Linked DNA regions of Oreochromis niloticus. The protein of the gene in region 2 purifies or fractionates together with the protein of the main gene of each other region. This does not show direct contact. Links are inferred from orthologs where the notes say so. Each region holds a gene or a part of one and is shown on either strand. Other genes may lie near its edges.

Evidence for each region. Proteins that work in one complex are often made in the same cells at the same time.
Region 1: the proteins of hsp90b1 (region 2) and os9 purify together in Homo sapiens (affinity purification with mass spectrometry; 6 studies listed by BioGRID and IntAct, with this or other methods). This does not show direct contact. The link is inferred for Oreochromis niloticus from reciprocal best matches to the Homo sapiens genes HSP90B1 and OS9.

The regions. Positions count from the first base shown.
Region 1 is NC_031970.2:23,291,150-23,301,807, reverse strand, and holds the start of os9 (protein OS-9), read right to left. Parts: upstream 5,297-10,658; 5' UTR 5,122-5,296; coding exon 4,969-5,121; intron 3,238-4,968; coding exon 3,055-3,237; intron 2,000-3,054; coding exon 1,936-1,999; intron 1,853-1,935; coding exon 1,776-1,852; intron 1,685-1,775; coding exon 1,586-1,684; intron 1-1,585. Other genes in the region: b4galnt1b (beta-1,4 N-acetylgalactosaminyltransferase 1), read left to right, coding at 9,290-9,504, 9,582-9,758. UniProt on the Homo sapiens protein: Lectin component of the HRD1 complex, which functions in endoplasmic reticulum (ER) quality control and ER-associated degradation (ERAD).
Region 2 is NC_031972.2:48,746,159-48,756,935, reverse strand, and holds the start of hsp90b1 (endoplasmin), read right to left. Parts: upstream 4,606-10,777; 5' UTR 4,485-4,605; coding exon 4,436-4,484; intron 3,922-4,435; coding exon 3,819-3,921; intron 3,496-3,818; coding exon 3,354-3,495; intron 3,264-3,353; coding exon 3,147-3,263; intron 3,063-3,146; coding exon 2,731-3,062; intron 2,480-2,730; coding exon 2,368-2,479; intron 2,258-2,367; coding exon 2,126-2,257; intron 1,931-2,125; coding exon 1,814-1,930; intron 1,725-1,813; coding exon 1,587-1,724; intron 1,491-1,586; coding exon 1,413-1,490; intron 1,305-1,412; coding exon 1,239-1,304; intron 989-1,238; coding exon 719-988; intron 628-718; coding exon 382-627; intron 259-381; coding exon 122-258; intron 26-121; coding exon 1-25. Other genes in the region: nt5dc3 (5'-nucleotidase domain-containing protein 3), read left to right, coding at 9,523-9,817.

The sequences.
Region 1 (10,658 bases), on a different chromosome or scaffold from region 2:
TTGAAAATGATTAAATACAGTAAATAATCAGGGAATTCATCAACTGTTACAAATGCCAACACAGACAGATCAGTATAGCCAACATTGGCTGGTCTCTGCTTTTTTCATGTCTTAACAAGTGCTTACGACTGCTAATACCTTAGTGACTGAGAATTTACAGAGAATCTTTTTCCTGTTTGTGAAAAGTTTCCTGTGTGACTAACACACACACAACTGACAACTTAACTTTGACTCTACATCTCTTAAGGTTTCCTTCTGATCCCTCTTCCACAGACTCCGATCATTTTCAGATCTTTAGTGAGTTGCTAAGAGGATTCCAGAGTTGGTGAGTTTCACTACAACATCTGTGTAATCAGAAAATCAGCATCTTCTGATAAACTTAATCTCCTTTAGAAGGGCTAAAGAGTTGACTAAAGCCATATCTCTAAACAGACAGCTGCATATGAATATCTGGGGAACGGAAAGCTTTCTTGATTTCATTTCCTCTCCTCTTTTAGTTCTTGTTCTAATAATCAGTCTCATCTGAGTGTGCAGTTAAGTCCCCATGTGAGCAAAGCACTTCCCTCAATTAATCTCAAAACCATTAGTTTTCAGATGGCAATTTTTCTTTTAATTAGTTTTGGGGTTTAGGGTTGTTTAGCACTAAAGAACTGGCTGCTCCATGAGATTAAGACAGCTGACTAGGTGACAGGTTCCTTAATTTAATAAGGCCAAACAGGTTTACTTTTTGGACCCTATAAGGTATCAGGATGACCAAAATATTTCACATGCCAAATTTTGTATTTTTTCCACCCGAACTCTTTTAGGGTCACAGAAAAGAAACATGCTGTCATAATCTGAACTAATGTCTAAGTCACAGTTTTAATTTTTCCAGAAAAACTAGCCAGCGTCTCCCACCTGACCTCCCTCAAAAATATTCAGAATTATTTCGACACAGAAGGAATCGCAAAGATGACTCTGGCATTAAAGTGGAGGTAACATGGAAACCGTTAAGATGCTATAACTTGTTTTGACTAGACAAATTTGCTGAAAATGCACATTTTGGATAAAGTTGAAAAGTTAAAAACTCCAGGGTGCCAATGCTTGTTTCTGTTACTCTCCTTCACAGACATTAAACTGGTGCAGCTTTTCTGTAGAGGATGTTATATCCTAAGATATCCAAGATACTGATGATCAAAAGAGGTTACTGGCAAAAATGGATTTTGACTTTAGATTGGGATACTCTGAGTTAATGCTAAATTAATTTGGTTGCAGTACGAAGTAATGTTTTGCACAGCTCATTAAATGTGCTAAAGTTACACTACAAAAAGAACAATTTTTTTTTTTTTTTAACTAAGACTCAGCTGAGTCTGAGGAGCTCAGGCGAGCCTTTTAAGGAAAGCAATCATAAAACATATTCATGTTCGAAATGTCTGCTGCATGGGATATATTTAAAAGTAAAAGGCTTGTAAATCTGCACAGGCATGCCCACACTTTTGCATATGAGTATTTGGATTAGCAAGGAGGAAGTCAAAACTTAAAAGAAAAAAAAGTGAAACACGCAAATAAACTCAAGCAGGATGTGTTCCAAATGCAAATATCTCACCCGGACTTCAGTCTCTCTGGGATTTCCATTTAGGTCACACTTAGAGCCATTTACATAGGTCTGGCTGTGGTATCGCTTTAGCCTGTGCTGTTTGGAGGCCTGAGAGAAAAAACACAATGGATGCACCCACGATTGTTTGGTTCATATTGTACAGTCATGCAAATCAGCCACAAAATAGAGGCAACTTTACCTTTGCTGTTTCATTGCTCCAATCAAATTCTGACTCATAATAACCCAGGAAGAGAATGTCCCCTTTGATCTCTGTGTCTAAGGACAAAAGAACAAAATTAGTCAAAAACAATAACTGAAAGTTAAGAAAAACAAAACAAAACAGAGTAGTGGCCTCTCACCTTCAAGGTGGTATTGTCTGATATGCTGGCCATGGCAGAACTCGTACGTCCACCAGTCCTTCGTCTGCAGGACATATATTTCTGTTAGACTTTGACACAGTGCATAAGCCTGAAATGGTCCCACGCACATATTTGTAAATGAGGCCTATTTTTCAGGAAGTCTTGTGGTTTAATCAGATGTAACTTTGAAAATCTAAGTCAGACTCCTCTAACTGTACTGTTGTGAACTTTAACATTTAACATTCTAACTGCGGCCTGTGGAGTTTGAGATAGCCTCTTGGGTATTTTTCCAGTTTTTCTGAGGACTGCACAGGCTGACCTTGGGTTTTACTGGGACATCAACTCCTGGGAACATTGGCAGCTGTCTCAAATGTTGGGAAAAAATCTTATTTACTGTAGAATGATGGAGTTCATTTTGAAGGCAATAGCTTTATAATGCATCAAGACTGATGGGCAGTAACAACTGATTCTTTGAGATCTTTGGTGTTGTTTTTCCTCGTTGGCACTGTGCTAAGACACCTAAATGCTCATGATCAATTAATCAAGCACATTTGATTAACAGCACAAGGCTGTGACTTAACCTCTTTATGCCTATGGAAGCTGAAAGTGTGACAAACTTTCTTTGTCACATGACTATACAAAAAACACATTGTAACGAGATACATTTTTTAATATTTTCAAGGTGTTTTTGCTCTAACATCCAGTCATAGTGGATAAAATGCACTGTGAGCAGGAAAATAGTGATAAAGTACTTGTGGGCTTTTGGGTAAACCTTAAATTAACACATTAAGCTGAACAATTGAAAACACAGGTACATTAACAGATGTTTGTCTCTTAGATATACTGCTTTTGTACCCAGTCACTGATGCAGACAAGCAACCTTTAATCCAGTGAATACTGAATCAAGAGCCTCCCAGTGTTGTTTTGGCAAGCTTCTGGTGCATTCACGTGTGTCTTTCAAATAGCTTACTTAAGCTGGCAAATATACTTAACTTACAGTCACTTCCAGTGTGTTTTGCTCTTGTTCTTATTGTTGTATTATTTTTGTAGCCACATCACAGTATAAACAGCTTAAGCATTTCACTGTTGGATTACACAGATAAGTAGTTAAAGACCAACCTTGACTAGACATGGGGCATTGTGCATGGGCTTGAGCAGGTCTGGGATATCTGGCCCAGTGTAACCCTCCGAGTCAGGCTCAGTGGCGGGATCCTGATGAAAACGCACAGCCTGGGCTGGAAGTCGACACTCATAGAGCTGTTTGTACTTACTGGACACCATCATAACCTCCTCTGTCTTAGTCTACAAACGTAAGACAGGCATGGAAAAGGGGGCGAATTTAATGTTGACACACATGGGCACACATTACCAATGCATTACTTGAGTGCAGACAGATAAAAACATGGCTTGCGGCTTTCTATGGGCTCAAAATGTGGTCATAAATATTTTGTACTTGTAAATCAGTTTTGTACTTGTAAATCAGGATTTGTATGTGTAAAAAGAATTTGTGTGTGTGTAAAAAAGATTTGTATGTGTAAAAAGAATTTGTGTGTGCGTAAAAAAGATTTGTATGTGTAAAAAGAATTTGTGTGTGCGTAAAAAAGATTTGTGTGTGGACTTAGCCAAAAAAAACCCCTGCAAGTTACAAGTACGAATTTTGACTCTATTTTTCTTCCTTTCATCTGATTGTTCAATGTCATGTCAATCACAAATGTAACAATCCAATCAGAGAACAGATGGGTTTGGCTGTCGGAGGGGCACTTTTTTGAACTGCAGGTCCTTGAAGGGTAATACAGTTTGAAGCTGGAGGATCTCTATATAAATATCCGATAGCAGCTAGGTCCGCTAACTTTCAGCAGCTGTTGAAAGGATAAAGTTGTGGTATGCCAGTGGTTAGACATACCATTATTACTTTAGGATTAGTTTAACACAAAGTCAGGGCTGACCCGGGACCATTGCTGTGAGTCACAGTGAGCAGCATAAAAGTCCTTTCACATCGAGCACAGGATGTGCTGCTAATGCTAACTAAACGCAAAGGATCCAGAATTTGTTGCGCTGGTTGCTGGGCTCTGTGGTTTTTTGCAGCAGCTCTACCTGTACTAGATGCACCTGCTCCTTGTCGTTTCTATCTCTGACTTTATGTCCTCTACAAGAGTTTCTGGGGGTTTTTTTTTTGCTAGTTCTTCGAATGTTCAATAAAAACATGTATGCTAATTCATAACGAAGAAAGCTTTGTAATGAAGACTGTCATTTCCAAAACACTGCCCGCCCCCCCCCCCGCGGTCCGCAGCGCTGTCGAAAAGGCTGTGGAAGTCCCTGTATTAAACACGTAGACCTGTGACACAAAAGTCACCAAACTCGGACGACCACAGACTGTTTTCCTTCGTGGTGATGAAGGAAAACACTGGGTTGGCATGTAAAAGGGCATTTATTCCCTTCAAAGACCTGCAGTTCAAAAAAAGTGCCCCTCCGACAGCCAAACCCATCTGTTCTCTGATTGGATTGTTACATTTGTGATTGACATGACATTGACCAATCAGATGAAAGGAAGAAAAATAGGGTCAAAATTCGTACTTGTAACTTGCAGGGGTTTTTGGCTAAGTCCACAAACAAATCTTTTTTATGCACACCCAAAGTCTTTTTACACATACAAATCTTTTTTACGCACACACAAATTCTTTTTACACATACAAATCTTTTTTACGCACACACAAATTCTTTTTACACATACAAATCCTGATTTACAAGTACAAAATATTTATGACCACATTTTGAGCCCATAGGGCTTTACTTTCAGCTAGTTACTTATAGACCTGTGGCAATGAACATAACAGCTGTCACAGCATGCTGCGTACTTCACCTGAGAATTACTAGTCTTCATGTAATTTTATAAGATTTATTTTCATATGTTTTGTGCTTTTATGACATCAGGTCTCACGCTGTGTGAATTATTTGACACTATTAATAGTAAATAAATAACGCTAGCTCATATTTAAGCTAACAAGCTATATCCGTTAGCATTTCCTGACTCACCTGCCCCAGGATGACAGGATCGGGAAGAATCTGAATCCCATATTTCATCTCATTAAGCTCCTCCAAATTCAAGAAGCCCGGGACACAGAGGGGACATGCCAACAAGAAAACGTACAGTCTCTTTAACAACCAAACCAAGGAAGCAGCCATCATTGACTCTCGCCTCTTACCCCTGTCTGACAGCAACAACACACAGAATGCCTGACATGGTAGCAGCGGATTGGTCGAGGTGAAAAGCCCTGCTTTGTCATTGGCCAATTTCCAAGTCAATCAAAGTTTTTCCCCAGTTCTGGGGTGCGTTTGGTTTTCATACCAGCGGACAGTCAATGAACGGCGTGTTTGTGCTATATATAGCATGCTAATGAATAACGGCCAATGACTGATAATGGCCCACATCTCCGCTGTCACCGCCTGACTTGCGATGAAATAGGCTCACACTTAAGCACGAAGACAAGGCGGCCTGTCGCATGGCCAAATAACAATCACGAGTTTGGGGGGGGGTTCTTCGTTTGTTTCATTTTGTTTTGATGCAAAACAGTCCGAAGTAACTGATTTTAAAGGTTTACATTGACAATTAGGTACAATGATGACAAAACGATAAAATGATTCATATGACACCCAAAACGTACACACCGAGCTGAGCGAAAAGTGCAGTTCTGGGTTTAAATATCTGGTGAGGGAAAAATCAAGACAATTCCTTGAAGAAAGAAAGCATTCCTTAACAGAATACCAGAAAGGAGGGGAGGACAGAGGGTGTGATACTGTAGAAGCTGAATAAGCAGTACAATATTTATCGGCTGTGTGAACAGACGCCCACCACACACCCACGCACCAATCTAAACACGTATGTAGACATAAATGTTACTGTTTGATCATAATTCTACTTTTTTTGAGAAATCGTGCAGTCAGTTCAGTGGTATCCTCTCCTCTGTGTCTGTGTGTGTGCGTGCTCAGCTGACAGACCACTGATGGGTCTGGTGTAGCGGTGAAATCGGTGCGCTCGCCGCTGCGCCGCAGCCGCTGTTGCTGCAGGGGGAGCATCCGTCCAACAGCCTGCAGTGTTGCGATGCGCGGCCGCTCCGTCTCTGCGCCGCTTCCCCCCACATAATTCCATTTTCAAGACCTCCGAGGAACAGATCCGTGAGAGAGGGGCGAGCTCCGTGCAGCAGGGAGGTGAAAGAGTCTGCAGTGTGCGTCTTAACTGAGGTGAGCTGTGGGGTTATTTGATTTTTTCTACAGTGGGGTGCTGCTTTAAAGGCCCGTGTCTCCGTCTTCGGCAGGAGATTTTTTTTTCGGGGGTTGTTATTTCTCAGCTCTGGCTGAACGTTTGAAAGCTTCTGTGATAGACAGGGGAGGGGATAGGCATGAGATTTTTTTTATTTTTCATTTTAGACATAACATGGTGGTAAAATAACTAAATACACACTATGTCTTTGTTCTGGAGATGTTTTTCAGCATATTAGAAGTGCTGTTTAAAGATAATTTCGGATGCATGGGTTTTTGTTTTCTTTGTAGGGTTTTCTTGCGCTCACTCAGAATAAGGTGGGCTAATAGGCCTGTGTGTAGCCGGGTATTTATATTCGCTACCTCGGATTTCTGCACACACATTCGCATTATTTTTTTTCCCATATTTTCCTCATGTTTCACAGTACGAAGGGAGGTGTGCTAATTTTGTGCTAATTATCCCAAATAGTCCGAAACATGCGAGCAAATCTGTCACGCGGACTTTGGTAGTGACCCACGGACTATATGCATGTCCATAGCATGTTCACCGCGGCGCTCCCTACCATAGGGTCGTTAGTGTGCAGCACACGCCTATGTTGTGATTGGCTTAGATCATCTGTTATGTATTAGGGCTGTTCCACTATCGCTGATAATTATTATTCCGACGGGGTGGGGGGGGGATCAAATCTACGAGGCCTGCAGTAATGCAAAACATTATCTTCAAAGATATGCATCATGTCATGTTGTCTTACCTTACAATCTCTGTTGAAATACAGTACTGTGCAAAAAGTCGAGACCAACCCCTCATTTTTTATATTTTGATTCCAGGAAGCCAGATTTGTAATTATTTAAAAAGTGGACATCCTGAAGGTCTTAAACATTTTTCTTTTTAAGTCGTTGGCTGCTTATTGACCTAGTTTCAGTCTGATCCTTGTACCTGAGCAATCTCACAGGAATGTTTTTGTTATTGCTGTTTTGTAAGCCACTGATCTATAAATAATTCAAACATAATCAGGGGATGACATGTGTGGTGTCCACATTTAGTAAACAACTTGGCAAAGAACCGATTCTAAAAAAATTTTTTTTTTTTTTAAACAACATCAAATTTGCTCCCATTTCCTTTCCTTTTGGAAGGGTGGTGGTCAAGAAGGGAAACTGCGAGAAAACTCTGAGGTATAGGAGATTACCGATTACACAAGAACTAGACTGAAAGGTACAACAGGGAGTGTCCAAAGCCATCTGTAAAATGCAGTGTTTAAGATCTTGTCAAAATTTATGAAATTATGAACACAGAAAAGTATTGTTAGATTTATTAGGTATCATTTTCCAGTCTGACAGTGATCCCAACACACTATCAGTGGAGTAAAATATACCTTAATCCATGACTATGTGTCATGGATTGGCCTCCCCAGAGCTTTACCTCAACATTAATGAAGCAGTGTGGGATCATCTTGACTGAAAACAGAATAAAAGGCAGACAACATCCAAAGAAGAGCTTTGAATGTCCTTCAAGAAACCAGAAGAATTATTCCTTAAGACTACTTAAAGAAATTACAAGAAAGGCTTGCCCAAGCGTTCAGACTATGATAAGAAATAAAGGTGGCCATACCAAATATTGACTTTCAAGCTTGTTATAGTTGTAAAAACACTCTTTTTTCCTTGCATACATATCGATTTGGCTAAATTAATCTCCTAAAAAAGAAGAAATTGAGTTGCAGCCTGAAAACCTTCATGAGTTTGCTAAATATGAGTTTATAATAAATTTCTGGGATGAGCTGATTGGCTGCTAGTTCTGATCCTATTAATCTTTCCCCTGTATTGATTGAGTTTTTCCCCTCCAGCCCTTTGTAAAACTAATATCCTCTGGCAGCTGTGGTACCATGCAGTCACTTAATGAAACACTACATGGTCACTTACCTCATGATAATATAAGTTTATATGCACTCTAGGTTTCTTAATAGTACATTCTGTTATATTATTATTAGTTGTTATCCATTTTTTCAGCCTGTACTCCTTGATTTGTTTTTTGTTCTTTCCAGATGGAGAAGGCGCTTGCTCATTTCCACAAATGTTTACATGGTTTCTGGAGATGCAGGTGTCAACAGAGGTTTTCCTTTCAATGATTGGATAGAGGCAGTGAGGTAGATATTCCTATAAATACTTTTTAAACTGCTAGAAATGAAAGTCTGTCTGCCAAGGATTAGGTTTCATTTAATGTCTTATCTCCTACATTTGTGGCAGTGAATTTAGTGTTGGTATAATTAGATCATTGTAAGCAAGCCTACACACACACATACACATACATACAAGAGACATAGATTTAGAGTCTCGATTCCATCACTTCAAAGGTTTTCCACATTATTTCTAACACTAGACTTTTCCTACTTTGAACATAAACAAAGTCTTCATCATTAGATGTAAACATTTATGTCTTTAACAAGAAGGCAGGATTCCCACTATGTAGCTGTGTTTATTATTTACGTTCCCACAATATGAGCAATTCATTTACAAGGATTCCATCGCACCCACACCCAAATGCATGCAGAATCAGAAATGGAGTTTTAGTTTGTCGCAGCTGGAGGAGAAAGAGTTTATTGTGTGCTGGCAAGTTTCTGAAAGGGGAGACATCTGCTTTCAGTTATACAGAAGAAGAAGAATCGAGGAGAAAAAATATGGGAGGGGAATGAGGGATCGGAAGGCATTCATGATTTCATTATGCTGATTCTTTCAGCAGATATCTAGATCTCTTCTCATGGCTCCTCTGTGAGTGCAACCACAAAAATGTGAATAATTTTCCATGGATCTGTAGCTGTGATGATGACTTAGAAAATTTTCTGAGACTAAAATTAATACGGGGCCTCTTCAATTAAACAACTTCCTGCGGGCTGTTTTTGGGTTGAGCTGAAGTGGAAGGGGGGGGGGATGACATGACATAACCTTTTAACTTTAGCAAAACCTCACAAAGTTGTCACACAAAACAGAGACTGCTGATTTTGTTCCCATCACTTACATTGCATTCCTGTTCGGAAATATCTTCAGAGTATAATTATAAAAACCAGAACGTCATCCAACATACTAATCTCTGACAGGTTCCAGGATGCGGTCCATGAGGAAGACGGTGTTGCTAGTCATCCTGGTATCTGTGGTGCTAGTACTGGCTCTCCTCCATTCGTGGCCCACTCGGGGTTACACCACAGTGGATGTTTGGCAGCGACCAGCGTTTATAGTAGAGAGGCATCTGGAAGAGAGGGTCCCTGAGTCAGACCATCGATTGAGCAATATTCCCTTCCATGTAAGGGATAATGTGGCGAGGTAAGTAATGCTATTTTGAACCAAAGCGGACAGACCTGAGCTTAAATCTGATCACACGTGTCTTATAATCTGTCCAGTTTGCTGGCACGTAATGGATGCATATGTGAGGGCGAAAGTGGGGGGGTAAACCTACCGTTCGCACAACTCTTGTTCCCTCGGGTGTCAGCTCACCCGCTGCACACTGCCTTCGAGGCTTCAGAGCTGGAGGAGATGAAGAGGAGACGGGCTAAAGAGTACAGCAGCTTTCAGACGAGGTAAGGAGTACTTAAGAGGTGTTTCACATTTTTTATCTGTGTGGCTAAAATATTATTATGCGGCCTGATGTGTTGTTTTACTTAAATTAAATAATGATGTAACAAAATGTGTTACTTGAAATAATCCATCTGTCTCAGCGCACGCTACAGGAAATTGTTTTTTAGACTTATCTATCTCTTACATGGAAAATCATCCACAATCTCACATCACTCTTGTCATATACTAATCTGCTTCGCTTTGTGGTTTGTTACTACGCAGTTAGAATAAAAACACATTACATTAACCTGCAAACATTAACCTGAGATCAACTATCAGAGAAAAGTCACACAGTTTGAATGCACATGCATTAGAACATATATAAACACAGACCTCGCTTTTTGCATGCTTCCAGTACACAACCAGCAGCCTTAAAACCTCCCCGCTTCTCTGTGGATCGTGCAGGAGTTGTGCATTAATAAGACTACATACACGGGTATTTTTGAAAACGCAGCTTTTTCTATTTGTTTGGGCCTTTCGTCCACACGCAAAAGCGTTTTGGATCACTGAAAATAGAGATTTTTTAAAAACTCAATTTTTGCCTTTACGTCTGTACGAAGAAAACAGAGATTTAGCCTCACAACGTCAAAGGTGAGCGCCTTTTTTGATGTCAAGCTTTGCACCACGTTATTGTTTACATGAGATGAATTTCTACAATGGCAAATATAGATAAAATACCCTTGCTTTTAATCTTACTATCTGCATTTTTTACACGGTAACACATACACACACAGTTACTGTCCCTCCATTTAGAAACACAGAGGCATCAGAGTGAACGTCGACATGGCTTCTACATTGAACACAGACACTGTCACAACCCAAATCTCGACGCCAACGTCATCGTCGGTTTTGAATAAATGTAA
Region 2 (10,777 bases):
TGTTTTCTTCTGGCTGGCATAGTAACTGGAAAGATTAAACAGAAATACAGATTTAGAGCAAAGCAATAGCAGGTGGAGTAATAAATGGACATGCAAAGATCAGCACGGGATTAACACTCACTTTGTGGAAATGTCCTTTCCTGTCTGGTAGGCCTGTGCCTTCATGATCCTCTCCATGTTTCCTGACCAGCCATACTGACTGGCAACCAAGGCGCAGGGTGAGTTGGTTAGCCTCTGAGAGAGAACAGCCTTCTCAATCTGTTGGGGAATAAACAGCAATGCATTAAATGTTGCAACAGACATAAATGGGCAGCTATAGCCAAAATTAACTGCTTATACAGCTGGCACTCATTTCCCATTCTTTTAATATCACAGCATTACCTTATCCTTTAGAGCTTTGTCCTTCAGCCAAGTTGTGAGAGGTTCGAACTCCTTCTCCAGGGCCTCCCTCTTCTCCTTGGCCTTTTCACTCTCGTCAAATTTGACACCTTCCTTGGCCACGTTCTGGAAGCGTTTTCCATCAAACTCTGGCAATGCCTGGATGCAGTACTCATCCACAGGCTCTGTCAGGTAGATGACCTCATAGCCCTTCTTCAGCAGCCTCTCAACGAAGGGAGAGGACTCAGCCTGTAGCGGATGGAAGAACAAGAGACATGAGAATTTCAGCTAGTGTAGGATAGTTTACACTTCTTTCACCTGGCCAAAAACATTCACTCACCTCTTTCCTGCTGGTGCCAGCCATGAAATAGATCTTATCCTGCTTCTCCTTCATGCGCTCCACATACTGCTCCAGGCTGGACAGGTCTGTTTCACTGTTGGAGGTTTGGAAGCGCAGCAGCTTAGCAAGACGGGTCCTGTTGGAGTGATCCTCAATCACACCCAGCTTGATGTTGGTGCCAAACTCCTTCCAGAACTTGTCGTTGTACTGTTCCTCTGCAATCTTCTTAATCATGTCCAGAGTCTTACGGACCAGCTTCTTGCGGATAACCTGAAAAAGATAAAATAGGTATGACCATTTCATACTGCATTAAATCTAGTGTTAGTTATTCAGAATCTTTAACTTATGCTTTAATTTAACCATATTCTAGTGCCCCCTGTTATTCCTGAAAGCACTTTATGATTTGCGCTCATTAAAAATTGCTTTGTTGCTTCATTATCCATTTTAATCAGTGGCTTAATTGGTTAATGATGACTAAATGATGGAATGGGAAGCGAACAGGGCTGCATGTTGAGCTCACCTTGAGCAGTTTGTGCTGCTGCAGAGTTTCTCTGGACACATTCAGAGGAAGGTCGTCAGAGTCAACCTAACAAAATAAAGTTTCCCTTAATCACGGTGCAGGTGATATTAATGCAGAGACCAAGCACATAACATTAGCATGAGATCGTCGAATAAGAGTTAAAAAATAACTCACCACTCCCTTGATGAAGTTCAGGTACTTGGGCATCATGTCATTGAAGTCGTCTGTGATGAAAACTCTCCTGACAAACAGCTGCGAATGGAAGGCATTTACTTTGAAACTCAGTTTTTGGGGTATTGCTGAAAAAGTTGAATAAATCTGATGCTAAATATTGCTTAGGCTACACACCTTGATGTAATCGTTCTTCTTGGAGCCATACTCGTCAAACAGCCCACGGGGAGCTGAAGTGGGCACAAACAGGATGGACTTAAAGGTGACCTCACCCTCAGCTGTGAAGTGGATGTGAGCCATAGGGTCATCATTGTCCTGTTGGAAGATGAAAGATGGGTAAAGTTGACATTAGTATACCAGCCTACAGAGCCGGTTTGACGAAGTATTACTGGTTGTGTGCCTACCTTTGAGAAGGTCTTGTAGAAAGCCTTGTACTCATCTTCCTCAACCTCCTTAGCCGGCCTCTGCCAGATGGGCTTGATATCATTCATCAGTTCCCAGTCCCACACAGTCTTCTCAACCTACACATCACACACAATTATATAACTTTTGAAAAATATACATTTTAGATCAGACATATTTTCACAGACTGCTTTCTGAGTAAAATAGTCCATAAATCTTAATGACTCAATGGGACTTTAACCCACCATAAAAAACTGTTAATGATCACACATATGTCAATATAGTCCTCAACCACCATTTCTTCATTAACATACCTTCTTTGTCTTTGGTTTGTCTTTGTCCTCTCCTTCTTCTTCCTCTACTTCAGCCTCATCTTCAGAAGCCTCTTTCTCTGGTTCCTCTGCTGCCTCAGCATCTTCCTCAATGGGCTCTTCAACCGTCTCAGTCTTGAATGTTAAAAGAAATTATGCAACCGTTTGTTCATTTCCATATTTGCCAGTTTCAGTCTGGGATTAAGTCTGACTCATAGTGTTGAAGGAAATGACAAAGTAGTCACCTTGCTGGCCCACACATAGATGGGGAAGTTGATGAACTGGGAGTATTTCTTGACAAGATTCTTGATGGTCTCCAGCTCCAGGTAGTCTGACGCCTCCTCCTTTAGGACAAGTCTGCAATTAGACAAAGATGAGATTAAATTTCAAAGTTCAGGCTTTTATAACTTTCAGACTCATGTAGCAGCATGAAAATACTCTGCAGTTCTTCTTCAATAAAGACTGTACATTAACAACACAAAAACATTAACTACGATTTCATAAGCTTTGACAAATAACGTGAGCCATGCACACATTTCACAGGAGCTATTTGAAAGATCAAGAAACCAAATCCTGTGTGGGCAAATGTTAACACATAAATAACTTACGTGATGGTGGTTCCTCTTCCCAGTGTGTCCCCACGGGGGTCCTCAATGACAGAGAACTGATTTGAGTCAGACTCCCAGATGTGCTGTGTGTCATTGTTGTGCTTGGATGTCACAATGACCTTGTCAGCAACAAGGAAGGCGGAGTAGAAACCGACACCAAACTGTCCGATCAGCTCTGAGGTAGACTGTCCCTCTTCCTGCATCTCTGTCATCTTGTTAAGGAATTCGCTGGTGCCTGACTTGGCAATGGTTCCCAAGTTCTTTACTAGCTCCTCCTTGGTCATTCCAATACCAGTGTCAGTGATGTGCAGCATGTTCTTCTCCTTATCAGACTGGGGATAGAAATAATGAAATTAAATTAGTGGATGCACAGCTTTTCCATTAAAGGTGTCAGCATTCAGTAAGTTAATGCATACCTTTATTTTGATGGTCAGCTCTTCATTTGCGGCCATTGCATCCTCATTGGTCAGGGACAACAAGCGGATCTTATCCAGAGCATCCGAGGCATTGGAAATCAGCTCCCTAAGGAAGATCTGCAGCACAAAAAAGTGATGATGAGCTCTGTGAGAACTGTCTTAAATAAAAATATGTAGACACAGGGTTGAGTAAAGATTCCTGCCTACCTCCTTGTTCTTGTAGAGAGAGTTGATGATCAGCTTCATCATACGGTTAACTTCAGCCTGAAAGGCATGTTTTTCAGACTTTTCCCTGAGTTCCTTAATCTGAGCTGCATTCAAACCATCCAGCTGGATTGCCTCCTCCTCTCTGAAGGCAGACAGATGCAAATACAAGCAGGGTAAGAGAGGGGAACGACAGCAAATCTTTGCTGCCAAACAAATCTGTTGTCCTTTCAGATAACTAAGATTGAAGATGAAAGCAAGATATATACAACTTCCTATTATTACAAGCAAATTTACAGTAAAACTTGCACACCTCTTACCTCCACTATAACTCAAAAGTGGCCCTGAGCACCTGTACACAAGCTTTATCATCTTGACCTTGTTCTGCTAAGATTTAGTGGACTTTCCCTGATACAATAACTGCAGTTATCTAGAAAGGTATATGGAGTTACGCAAAGTAACACCTACCTCTGCACCACTTCATCGTCTGTTCTGGAGCCATCCCTGCTTTTACCCAAGTCCTCCTCGACTGTCCCGTCAACGTCAAGTTCATCATCTGCCTTTACGGCAGCTGTCAAGGGACAAAGTTGCTCGATTAAAATTCATTATCAATTACCGGGAACATGTGGTAATTTTAGACTCATTTAACATTTTTTTTTTTTTTTAAAGCACTGTGCAAACACATTCTCACAGTCACCAAATTAATTAAGACGTAACGTCTGACCGTGTTAGCTTTTTAATCATTATTTTAACGTGCATGTATGCAACAGTGGAGGTTAGCTAACATGAGACAGCTTCAACACAGATGGTGTTTCTGCTAGAAAGTTCTGGAAAGGCAAGGAGATTAACGGACAGTGGCGTTACTCTAAAATAACAGGTAAATTAAATACGCTCTTCGTCATTGGAATAATATATATAACTAGACTGTTGCTTTGACACCTGCAAGCCTTTTAAAGTCAAGTACAGGGAGAACGTGTAAACTCCACAGTGAATGAGAAGAAAAGCAAAAAACCAAGTTAGTGCTAGCATACGGGCTAAAGGTAGCTAATATAATGAATAATTTTAAAAAAAATGCCGCTACTCACCACATGCTAAGAGTGCGAAAAGAAGCCCTATCACCCAGATTCGTTTCATTGTGAGATGCTTCCTGACTGACTGCCTGACGACTTGAGCCTTCAGCTGCTGAGACAATAGCCGGGAGATCAGCGCATGCAGCACTGGTTTTTACAACGAGGAATGACTAGCCGTCTCTCCCACCAAAAGAGCCCACTCGCCTTACCCCGTGACTACCGACCAATGGCTGTGCACCACGCACGACCGTCGACCAATCACAATACAGTCTACGGTACATGTTGTCCAATCAGTTTCTTCAACATATGCCTAGACCCGAAAATCGTGGCTGGACACCATTGGCCAGGAATGAATAATCAGCACATCCTAAAATTTACCTTTCATTGTAGGGAAAACATCACTGACAGCACTTCCAAGTAAAGTTCCCGAGCCAAGGAACACACTTAAGATTAATAATCGAAAGCTGGTGAATGTTTAGTTTATGGCTCCAAGCCCGTTTCAGTCTCTACAAAAGTAAATGATGCAGTGTTTTTCGATGTGTATATGGCGTGTTATTCTGGCATTTTGCATTCCCTTTCCTTTAAATGACTGGATGCATCGTAATGCTGTGGAAGCATAAAGTATAATGAATGAGTCTATCTCAAGTGAGTCACCGAATCTGATCCACTTGGTGGCGCTATATAGTTAGCAAGCTGAAATGGCAAATGCTAATGTTTCAGGAACTAGTTCTTAGTGTTCTCCCGCAGATCAGGATATCATTATTGTGCTGCTTGCTCAGTTTGTTTTGTGTCAGGGGTGTTAGCGATCGTGTCAGCAGCGATATTTAAAAGAGATACTGTGAATCTTATTTTAAAAATATGACAACCATCGTCAATACTGAACATCTCAAATGTATTAAACTTGACTGTCTGACCACAGTGTCAGCTCCTATTAAGTGTGATGTTTCTCCAAATGTGAATGGAAAAAAGATCAGAATTAACAATTTAAAGATAAATAATAAAATACTGGGCTAGTACTTTTTTGTTATAAGGTCAATAGTTTAATTTACTACATTACAGTAAGTCATAGTTCTATCTTAAAAGGATTTTTCCAGTCTAATACAATTTTCATAAAGCATCTATAAAACAGCAAAGATTACCGAAGTTCTGTACATAAAAAGGTGGATTACATAATACATAATACAAGATATACACGCACATGCCCACACACATCAACCTAAAAGAACTGCAAAAATACACAAAACAGCCTTAATGCCTTCAACTCTTATGCTGGGTCGAAAGCAAAAGAAGAAAAACTCGTTTCAAAGGTGGACTCAAAAAAATGTTGAGCTTATGGCTGAGATAGCTTGATTCACCCTTAAGTCTTGTCTTTTGGACATAGAGGAATAACTGGTCAGTGGCCTTGAAGTTGCATAAGTTTTTCAGAGATTGGCAAAATATGTTGGTGACAGCCTATTAAGGGATTTAAAAACATACATCAAACCTCAAAAATCAATTGTAAAATACACAGGAAGCCAGTGAAAGGAGGTTAGGACAGGGGGGATATGCTCCATTTTATGGGTTCTATTAAGAAGATGAGGAGCTGCATTTTTTAAGCAGAATTAATTTGTTTACCCAATTTTAAGTCACAATCCTTCTGCTTACCCAATCCAAGATCATAATCCACAATTCAATGTGAACCTACACAGGAAACACATGCAAACTCCACACAGAAAGGTCTCAGCTGGCTGGTGGATTCAAACTCTGTACCTTCTTGCGTTTAAGTGTCAGTGGTAACCACTGCGCCACTATATCATTATTAGTCAAAGTTAAGTTTATCACTGTTGGGTTACTTGTTGATCACAAACTTCAGGCGGGCAGGCCTGTCACTATTTGGACAATCACACAGTTTTTGTGATTTTGTCTCTGTTCACAACGATTGATTGTCTGATTTAGAAACCACAGTGGATTCTAAATCAGACAATCAATATGTGCTTGAAGTGCACACTTTCAGCTTTAATTCACTGTGTTTAACAAACCCTTTGCAGTCACTGTTTAGAAATTACAGCACTTTTTATACATAGTAGATTAGATTAGATTAGATTAGATTAGATTAGATTAGATAAAACTTTATTAATCTCTCGGGTGGGTTCTTCCGGGAAATTCGGTTTCCAATAGCACAGCACCGACAGAAGTTACAGAATGTGAGCAGAAATATACCATATATACACATATATAAATACAGAGTATACAAAAGGGATTAATAGAATAAATAGGAATAAGAATACAAGGGAATTGCAAATTTCACGTATTGGGAGTCTATTGCACCGTTGGATATTAACAAAAAGTATTGCACAGTGAAAAGGCACTACAGCTTAGTTGTCCCCCCCTCCTTTGTCCTCCTGTTTCCCCTCCCTCTCCCCTCCAGAGAGGAGTTAAACAGTTTGATGGCGTGTGGGACAAAGGAGTTTTTAAGTCTGTTGGTTCTTGTCTTTGGGAGAAGCAACCTGTCACTGAACAGACTCCTCTGGTTGTTTATGGCCGTGTGCAGAGGATGCCCAGCATTGTCCATAATGTCCATAATGTGCCCTATTTTCAGGAGTTTCATGGCCAGGTGAGGCCTGTTCCCTCATTACTCCATGACAAATCAAGGAGATAAAAGATCTGCAGTTCATTCCAAGTGCTGAACTTGTATTTGGTTACTTTCACTGGAAATCTCAATTAGAGTTCCAAAGAGATATTGATGCAAGTGAAAAAACAACAACAATCATTACACTAAATCCCAAATACACCTATCAGAGAGATGGCAAAACCTTCAGGAGTGGCCAGATCAATGAACTGATACCTTCTTAAAAAGAAATACACTGGCAAGTTCAGCAAAACCAAAAGACCTGAAAGACCACAAAATAAAGTGGATGATCACAGAATTCTTTCCTTGGATAACTTTGATGAAAGGCAGAGTCTTTTCATTTGAAAAGCTCACATATGTATGTGAGATACTTAATATCTAGCTGAAAATGTTAAATGTTTGGACTGAGAGATTTTGCATTTTCTTTTCCTTTTTTGGTATCAACTAATGAGGCAGACTAATTATGTGATTGGTTTGGTAAGAGCATCCCAGAGAGGAATGATAAGTTATCAATTAAGGAATAGCTTCCCACTTACATTAATATAGAGCAAACTGAACAAGACAATGTTCGTTGTCTTTAGATATAAACCTTGAATTTGGAAAAATTAACAAAGTCCCAGAGTATCTAATGATCTAAGACTCTAAATCTGTTCACATGGGATTTCACAATTTCTGCTATGTAGCTAGTCCATCTAGCTAATATTAGATAGATGTGATGTCATCTGCTAAAAAAGTAAGAAGCACATACTGTATTAGCCTAATAGCTATATTGTGAGCTATCTGGAGGTGAAATAATGACTTTTGGTGTAGCACTGATCAAAAGTCTTGAGCCCTCCCTCCACCTCTGCATAGGAGGTGAAAGTTTTAGTAGCATTTGCATGCATATGTGCACGTCATACTTTCAGTCTGTAAACACGATAGCCCCAAAGGTTTTGAATGAATTATGATAAAACTTTGTCGGGGTGTAGATGATGTCATGTTCACAATCCATTAAAATGTAGCTCACATCCACCAAGGTCTTCAAGGTCAGCTTAAGGATTAATTTGTCAAAAATTGACAAAAATATTTGTGTCATTTCACATTTTACCTCTGACCTCTCCTTCAGGGTCAGTAGATTATTCCGAAGGTCAAACTGATATAGAGCAACTGCATTTGTTTTTGTTGACAACATATAGACATACAGGGGCGGCACAGTGGTTAGCACTGTTGTCTCACAGCAAGAAGGTCCTGAGTTCAATTCTGCCTGGTTCTTTCTCCACACAAAAAGAACCCATGCCTGCTGGCAGAATGCTTGAGGGGTTCTCTCTGGGTACTCCAGCTTCCTCCCACAGTCCAAAGACATGCTGTTAGTGGGGATAGGTTAACTGAAAACTCTAACTTGCCCATAGGTGTGAATGTGGGAGTCAATGTTAGTGCAAATGGTTGTCTGTGTCTATGTGTTAGACAGGGTGTACCCTGCCTCTTGCCCTAAGACCCTGAAAAATGATAAGTGAATACTCATGGGGATTTCAAGTATCATATTATTGTTTGCATCCAAATATTATGTCACATTTGACCTCTGACCTCATCGATTTGGGTGGTGGATCTTTCCGAAATTATGGGTGCAACACACCTGCAAAGAAGGGTTGACGGTGAGTAACAGACTTATAAAACTACACTATTACACCAACACATCTTGGTAATGCTGTACAAGCATACAGCGAATGAGTGTACCGCTAATCTTTATCCACTAGGCGGCACTATTTAGCTATTAACATAAAATATGCACATTGTAGCAAACACAAATGATAGAAAAACAGTGGTGCAAGGTTCTCCCACAAATGTGCATATTATTCTACTGCTTGCTCATTTTGTTTACATGTTCACGTGGGCAGATGATCTGAATGTAACAAGCAGAAGCTAAAAGAGACACCACTCTTTCTGACAATCCTCGTCCCCATCCCTAAAAGGAAGAAAGGAAGGATAGATAGATAGATAGATAGATAGATAGATAGATAGATAGATAGATAGATAGTCTGAGCATGTCCCAAAAGGTTGAGTTCTGAATTTGCTGGTTGATGTTTGTGGCTCCTGTTTGAATCTGTTTGATTTAGCATTCTTCTTTTTTTTTTATTGCCAGAGACAATACTGTGGGTTTGAACACTGCAGGATCTCTACTCTGTAATAACACATTTACTACGTGTAGCCTATCTGTGATCCCAAATGATGCAAGGGCAGTAAGGAGCGAGCATAAAGTGTTAAAAATATGCATCTTATATACATTTATACATATTATTATTATTATTAATATATTCAGGCTATGGGAGGCACTGAACGTCAAACGCACGAGCTCCTGATTGGCTGGCTGGTCGTGACCTTACCAAACAGGGAAGTGACGCAAGAGCAACTACACAGCGACAGTTTCTGTTTTTGCAGAGTGAGCCCGTTAGTGCATGCAGTCGGCTGGGGAGTACTCCGCGACCTCCGCACGGTCCGCCACGCTCTGAACGAAGCTATGGCGCCCTGGTCTTTGCCGCTCTCGTCTCTTCTGAAACACACGGACTGTCTGCAGAGGGCCAATATTTTCTGTAATGTCGTACAGGGGCTACACCACCACCACCACCACCCGGTAAGGTCTCGGTTATGGAAGCGGAATTTCAGAGCGGTGTCCCAGGGAGTCGGTCAGCTACTCTCCCACCAGCCCAGAGCCGGAAAGTGCGCAGCATCTGTTTGTAGCAGCTCCTTAGACGGTCAGAACACGACAGAGAGGCTGTGGTCTGTTTACGATGAGACCAAAAGACAGACTGGAGGTATGGTCACTGTTCACAGTGAGGCGGCTCCTCATTAATAGTTACAGCCCTGCCCTAAATACAAAGCTGCTGTTTCTTTATAACTCTGTTATGGCCTGTGTTTCCTGCTGACTAATGCCCTACATCTCACCATTCCTCTATATTAATTGCCTCTCAGACAGCAGACTGTAAATGTGGAAATTAGGTTGTACCTGTCTCTGTGACTTGATTTATTTGTGTCTCACTGATGCTAACAAATCCCCAATGTCTACATTTCTGAACCTTAAAACCTGAATGTTTTTATTTATTGCATCACTGATTATTGATCTTTTTTAAAGGTCAGAATTTGTTGGGAAGTTGACATTGAAGGGTTAAATCAACACTGTGCTGATGTTTGACTGAGGTGTTCTTTTACACACCTTTTGTCCACTCCTGAATGAGAGAGTAACCTTGGGAGTTGGTGCGATTAGCACTGTTGCCTCACAGCATGAAGCTTCCTGGTTTGAACCCTGTTTGTGGCCCTCTGAGTGGAGTTTGCATGGTCTCCCTATCAATGTGTGGGTTTCCTCCACATGTTTTAGCTGCCTTCCACATTCCAAAGACATTCATGTCAGGTTGGTGTTTCTAAACTGGCCATGGATGTGAGATAGATAAAATATTTTAGGTGCATAGAATCAAGAGCTGTATGAATGCATGTCCCCCCCCCCTTTCTAATGTATTAGTTTTTACATATTTGTCACACTTACATATTTCAGATCCTCAAAAACTTATATTCACACTTTGATGGTTAGTATCTTGACCAGACTGGAGCCAGGGATCAAACCACCAATCTTCCGATTACTATAAATGATTTTAATAATGCTATAAATAAAATAGATGTGACAGTCAATATAGGCAATATACTTATTAACTATAGATGAAATATATACAAAAATGCAATAATTTAATTTAATAATTTAAATATTTTTTAAAAACACAGAT